Linked DNA regions of Bombyx mori. Each later gene encodes a partner of the first gene's protein in a complex. Links are inferred from orthologs where the notes say so. Each region holds a gene or a part of one and is shown on either strand. Other genes may lie near its edges. The genes, in order: zinc transporter zipt-7.2 and protein-L-histidine N-pros-methyltransferase.

What was found.
Region 2: the proteins of zinc transporter zipt-7.2 (region 1) and protein-L-histidine N-pros-methyltransferase are in contact, whole or in part, in a crystal structure (PDB 8GZE), measured with the Homo sapiens proteins. The link is inferred for Bombyx mori from reciprocal best matches to the Homo sapiens genes SLC39A7 and METTL9. Residues at the interface, in NP_001070984.1 of Homo sapiens: Gly65, His66, Thr67, His68, Glu69; in NP_057109.3 of Homo sapiens: Arg114, Thr115, Asn118, Arg123, Gly124, Met126, Met179, Asn210, Asp213, Arg214, Val241, His245, Tyr247, Glu249, Trp255, Tyr295, Leu296, Cys297, Glu298, Asp300, Tyr306, Val307, Leu308.

What each region holds. Positions count from the first base shown.
Region 1 is NC_085110.1:11,413,074-11,416,443, reverse strand, and holds zinc transporter zipt-7.2, read right to left. Parts: upstream 1,709-3,370; 5' UTR 1,605-1,708; coding exon 567-1,604; 3' UTR 507-566; downstream 1-506. UniProt on the Homo sapiens protein: Transports Zn(2+) from the endoplasmic reticulum (ER)/Golgi apparatus to the cytosol, playing an essential role in the regulation of cytosolic zinc levels.
Region 2 is NC_085117.1:14,642,045-14,645,883, reverse strand, and holds part of protein-L-histidine N-pros-methyltransferase, read right to left. Parts: intron 3,041-3,839; coding exon 2,817-3,040; 3' UTR 1-2,816. UniProt on the Homo sapiens protein: Protein-histidine N-methyltransferase that specifically catalyzes 1-methylhistidine (pros-methylhistidine) methylation of target proteins.

The DNA.
Region 1 (3,370 bases):
AATGGAAAATCATAGTAAAATACCCTGAGTTTACTGAGAGTTCAATACTTTTTGGAAGAATAATAGACCATTACATGCATAAGGCAGAAGAAACACTAAATTAAGAAAACAAAACTGTAAATAAAACGTTTCCCGCAGTTTCTAATAAGTAATAAAGCAAAACTTTACAGTTTATTAGTTATTGTTCTAAAAGACAGTAAACAATAGTTTTAAATTTACTTAATAGCACTTGAAATATTAACATTTTAGGTATTCATAGATACAGCAATGGAGAAGTTATAAGTGAGAATGCTTGTTCCAATTAATAGTTTCTGACAAATTATGACAGCATTGCTACATTGATTAAACCAAATTATGAAGAAATAAGTTTTGTGAAAGTTTTCAGATGTGAGATTTATTTAGTGTAATATTATGATAATTACCTTTTTATTATTAGTTTTATTTTCAAATGTCTTTAGAGATATTCATTCCACCGATACAGGAGTTTTACAAAAAAAAAAGAAAACTTTTTGTGATGTTATTTTATTGGAATAAAAAATTACATTTTATCTAAAAATTCTATAAATTTATTCATATTGTGCTATAAGTACCATCATGTACACTCCAGCTAAGAGTGCAATTATTTCTTTAATGGATTGGGAAAATTTGTTGTTCGAGCCTTCCAATAACTCAGGGATTACTGATACTGTAGCAATATAAATAAATCCTCCTGCTGTGAAAGGTAATATCAGAGATGAGACAAGGCCTTCCCCTGAACCTCTTAAGTAAATTGAAATAAAGGTCCCTGAAATTGCTCCAAAAGCAGTAAGCAATTGTAATAGCATAGCTTTCTTTCTTGAACAGCCAGATTGGACCAAAATGGCAAAGTCACCAATTTCATGTGGAATCTCATGTAGAAGAATGGTAACTGTGGTTATATATCCGATACTTTGGCCTGCAATAAAAGAAGCTCCAATTGCAAGTCCATCAGTAAAGTTATGTGTAAAATCAGCAGCTAAATTTAAATATCCAGCAATCTTGATGTCTTCTTGTTTATTTTTATTATCCTTTGTTTTCTTTTTCAATTTATCATCAGTCTTCTTTTTGTCTCCATGAGAATGTCCATGACCCCCACTAAAAAGTCTGACAGTTTTTTCCACAACTAAAAACGTAATAATTCCACCAAGTACTCCAAGACCGACTGTTATGTCATGTGGACCATGTTCTTGGGTTCCGTGAGAATGGGAATGACTGTGACTATGCCCTTGTTTGTCGTTGTGAGGCATGAGTGCATGAGGTATTAAATGCAGGAACGCATCGCCGAGGAGTCCACCAGACGCGAAAGCTAGGAGTATTTTAAGTAAGGGCTGCTTTTCAATTGTACCATCTATGGGTATAAAGAAAAGTATAAAGAATGGCACTATACTTATAAACAATGTAGAACACAAAGCACTGACGTATAAGTTGTAATCTGGTTCATAAATTTTATCATGTTCTTTCTGTTCGTTGGCATGTTTGGAGTACTTAAAAGCTGGAGATTCGTCACTATGCGAATGTGAATGTGCATAAACTATAGTAAATGTCACAATTAAAGCAAAATATGCTATACCACTCCTTACAAACATTTTCACAATTTCACAAATTTAAAACCAATCACTTCCAAACCACACATACAGCATTGACAGCATACATGTCATAGGCGTCATAGCTTAGATATGATAGCTTTTTTTTAATGGATTATGATGTGGTAACTAAGACCTTTAAGTCATGTCTTATTTTAATTTATATTCTTAATTTTATGAAAAATGATAATATGGAGTGAAATGAAATGAAGATGATTAATTTGAGACATTAATCAACTGGGATGAAATAAAATGAAATGAGATGAGATGAGATGGGGATGAAATAGAATCTCAGTAAAATGGTGGTCATTTACTGAGATTTTTACAGTGGACTTTTTGGAGGATCCCGAGAAGTTACGTCCAGCGGCTTTGTTTCATTTTCCCACATTTGTGCACTTTCACAGATATTAAACAGTTAATAAATCACCATTAATACACATTTAAACCTGAAGAAACACTAAAATTAAATAGACAAAATAAAACAAACCACACAACTTCACTGCTCGCGTTCCCGCCAAAAATTCGTCGTAATACATTAAAGCATTCGTCAAATAGAACGCGTACTTAGCGCCGCGTTTTAACGTCGCGCTCTTTTCATGTCACACTAGATGAGTCTAACGCATAGACCTATATAGTAGGGACACGACATATTGTTCTATACGTACAATTGCTTATATAAATAGCACCCATTTTGAAGGCACATACATAAACATATATCTATCTCGTTCTTACTCAGCACTTTAACTCGCAGGAAAACAATATAACAGTATTTCAGTGCGTACATAAAATGAAACATGAATATACGTAAATGTCTCCGTCTCCGTCTAATGAGGCCGAAAATCCGCCATGCTTAGCGCGCCAAATGTCATTGTCACGTCAGTTCGGCCGTCTGTTTTGGGTTGTACATTATTTATTGACTTTGATATCGATTTAATATGATTGCTTATATAAAATTTCTTATTTTATCATGCTTGAAACATACAAAAATAATAATTAAAACATATTTTATAGGATCTCAAGAAAGTCGATGCCCCAAAACTATTATCTATATATATATTTAAATTCATTATGGAGCCCTCATCCGAAAAATCGGACACCATTTTTCGATCGGAATCTATTGATCATGACACTAATCATAAATACCTCTTTAAAATATGTCATCAAAACATATTTAGACATTCTGTTTAGATATTTCAGGAAAAAGGCTACCAACAAAATCTCTTCGGAAAAAATGTGTGCGTGTACTAGTGTACACACGTAAGAAGTGAAACTTGTTTATGGCCTTATTTTTCGAAAAATGATCTACATGCAACTTTCTAGAAATTGGTTAAATAAAGTTAAATTAGATAAAGTTTAAACAAAAGGATTTTATTATCATAGACATGAATACAAATAATACAATTATTTCACTTTACCTTTTTGCTACTAAGATTATTACAGCATTTCATTAATTGTAATAGAATTATTACTATCATTGTCATTGTCATTATATATTTTTGTAATTAATGGCTTATGGTAACTGAAATATGAAATATATGGTTTACATTCCACGAAATTTAGTGACCGAGTAAAAACTCCATCAATTGTAGTGCCAGATCTTGTTGTTGACGTTTGAGGACTGTTTTTCATGGATAAATTCAATTTATCTTTCAGAAATTCAACTAGCTTCAAAGAATTTTCCGATGCAAAATTTACATTAAAATCTCCACTTAAAATCATCGGTATTTTATAATTATTGTTACCGAGTAAAGAGGCACCTTCACTTGTGT
Region 2 (3,839 bases), on another chromosome or scaffold:
CTTTTCATTTGCCTATTTTCAATATGTTCTGTTCTGTTATTCATCTATATTCGGATGAGGAGACAAATATATTTTAGATAACTTTCTCAGCACCCGCATTTCCTCTTTATAACCGCGTTGTACCATATAAAGAGTGACATTGTGATCTGTATTTTACATTGTCATTCGGCTAAATACACGATTTAAAGAAAAACACGCTTGGACAGCCAACGATGACGTAAACAACAAATTTTCATAAAAAAAGAAAAATATAATATATATCGCTAAATTACGCATGAAACCGCGGTCATAAGCTCGCTGTACCTTATACACAATTAATTTGATTGATTTCTTTCTAATACTCAAATCATTTATTATACTTAATTAATGGTTTAAATATTGATTTGACATAAATTTCTTTGTTAGAAAAAAAAAAGAATATAATCACTCGATCAACATACAGGGTGTAACAGAAGAGTTCACGATGCAGAATCGGTAATAATACTAGAAACGAAAAACGGTATTCTTTGTGAAGCTGACTTACGTTATTTTTAGCTATTTTATTATTATTGAAAAAATCGCTCTCTCATTCTACTAATAGTTATTGCATATGGAAAATCTTATTGATTTGCTAAGTGACGCATGCTTCACTTTTATTTTTTATTGCTTAGATGGGTAGCCGAGCTCACAGCCTACCTGGTTGTTAAGTGGTAGCTGGAGCCCATAGACATCTACAACGTAAATGCGCCACCCACCTTGAGATATAAGTTCTAAGGTCTCAGTATAGTTACAACGGCTGCCCCACCTTTTAAACCGAAACGCATTACTGCTTCACGGCAGAAATAGGCAGGGTGGTGGTACCTACCCGCGCGGACATACAAGAGGTCCTACCACCAGTAAAAAAAAACCTTTTAACACATATCGCATTCCATATTTCATTAATCGGCAATGTACTCGTCGTAGCTTGTATGGTCCTTACGTGTGATTCCCACCACCCTGCCTATTACTGTTGTTATACAATATAACAAAGGCTTAGACTGAATCTCAAGGCAACGTTAAGGACATGACGATGTTTACGCGCTTTAGCGAGTAATAAATCCGGTCATCGTTCTCGCCGGATCCGTCGCTTGCGACCAAGGGCTCGAAGAGTAAATTAATCCACAGACAAAACCCACCGAGTTTCTCGCCGGATCTTCTCAGTGGGTCGCGTTTTCGATCCGGTGGTAGATTATGCGAAGCACGGCTCTTGCTAGGGTCAGTATTAGCAGCTTCGTCAGGTTTGAGGCCCGCGAGCTCACCTACTTGATAGGGCTACGCTGAAATAGCCTCTCAAGGACTTCAGCTTAGATAGAAAAAAAAAACAATAAATAAAATCTCAAACGTATATAAAACATTCACTAACTCGCTCAACTTTCCTCGCGCGCGTGCGAGACCATTGACCCTGCGTCTCAGCTGATTCATAACTGAAATTACGTCACGATGATAAATATAAATGTACATAAATGGTTTTTCAATCATTATTTATTCACGTCAAGAATAAAAAAAACTTCAGAGGTGTCAAGGGACACCCGGATGGAACGAAGTTCCTTTCGATTAATTAGTGAAGGAATTGTAAATTTTTTTTAAGTTATAATAATAAATTACGGCATTATGAAGAAGAAAAAAACAATACTATGAACTAAATTACTATTGTTGAAACGCTATCTCGAGAAACTGTACTCATTACGCGGGCTAATCGGATACGAGCAATGTCACGCGATAAGCGCCTACACGTTGATTGGTCAGAATGATGGATCTAAAAAGTGTCGTGACAACTTTTCGTAAGAATTTTTTCCGTCTAGCCCCCTTTCACAACGCGCGATAAGGAACTTCGTTCCAAAACAATACAATTCAATGTAATAATAACTGTTATCACTAAAACCAATGACCGTTTACGAGAGCGCTTCTCTTACACCCTGAGTGAATCATATTATACACTTTGGTAGCGTTTCCTTAAGTTAGTAAATAACTAATATACACATACATATTTTATATAATTAACCAGTATAATACCATATAATAACCATACGGAATATATGAAAATTGGAACCAAAGTTCATTTTGTTTTTGTAATCTCAACAATGAGTAGGTACATTAAAAAAGTCACTTAATCTGTATTAAATATTTAATATCAAAAATGTTTAATTTAATATAACGAGTTATACCTGATTCATTAGGCACCGGTAAAGTATATACAATTCACTTCTATTTAAGGCATTATTACTTTGTTATTCTTAACATTATTTTTAAAATGTTTTACTGGCTGAAAATAAAAGAATGAACGGAATGTATTGTTATTTTAATATTGTATGTCAGGAATGACGAGTTATGCACGCAAGTGTAATTCGTGTCAAGTGTAATTCGATTTGTTGATACATCAACAGTCTTAATACTCTTGCAAATAAATCACGGCAGTTATATCGTGTTCAAAGCAAATACAAATTTATCAATTTTGTGTCTTTGAAAATATTTGCCCAATGGAAGGTGGACAATGTATGTCCAAAATGGTAACGAGATGTCTGTGATATAAACCTGTCAAAAATTCTAATAAGCGAGTGGCCATTATATCATAGTATATTACAGATAAAAAAAGAATTTATAGACTTCATTCATCACTGAACAACGTGTTTAATTATAATCTAATAACGATTATAAATAACGCGATTTTTTTGCGATTACAAATAAGATATCTTAGTTACATAAGTATATATTTGAAATTGACGAAACGCCTAAACTATTAGTTTAAATAAATGCAGATAAAATTCGTTAAGAGTTAATTATAAGTAATGGCTTAGCTTTCATTCGGATGGGATGGCTTTAGGCTTGAACACGTATACGGAGTCGTCGAGCCAGTAGTAGGCCTGAGCGAAGTCTCCCTCGCAGAGGTACGGCGTCCGCGTCCAGGAGACCAGCTCGTAGCCGGCTTCCTTCTCCATGAACGACACGAAGGCCGTCACCTGGTCTTCGAACTCGCAGCAGTCGTAGATCGGAAGACGCTCCTCAGGCTTATGGTCTGAGGTCGCTGAAAATTGATTTTATTCTTAATGGAACAGGTGATAGGACCTCTTGTGAATCCGCGCGGGTAGGTACCACCACCCTGCCTATTTCTGCGGTGAAGCAGTAATACGTTTCGGTTTGAAGGGTGGGGCAGCCGTTGTAACTATACTGAGACCTTAGAACTTGTATCTCAAGATGGGTGGCGCATTTACGTTGTAGATGTCTATGAGCTCCAGTTACCGCTTAACAACCAGGTGGGCTGTGAGCTCGTCCACACATCTAAGCAATTAAAAAAAAAGATGACTATATAATTACACAGCAGATGTATTAATTACCGCTCTAGCAATATCTAGCCTCATATAATGTAATGTTTAATACGTTTATATCATTTATTCTTGCCTAGCAAGTCCCGATTATGGATTCTGAAGAATGTATGAAAAGCTCATTGGTCTGAATGATTCGAGCGTCACTTATCGTAGATTTATGGGACTAAAAACGGACACTTTCCTTAATGTGTCAAGTTCAATACAAACTTCAACTCATGACACACAAACATACAATTTTCAAGCTTTAATTATCTTAGTGTGGTGTAATTTTTGTATTTAATGGAATCTGGGAATGTAAATTTCCCGACTTCGAGACGTCTGATTAACTATATAATTTGCATACGGATTAAAGATCGATGACAATACATAGTAGTAATCTTATAAATTCGATCTGACATCCTGATAGGATCAAATTAATTGTTAGATCGGATTGCTATTTATACGTGTGTTTATATGAACAAATAATTTGGTTCATAATTTTTTCTCCATAAAATAACA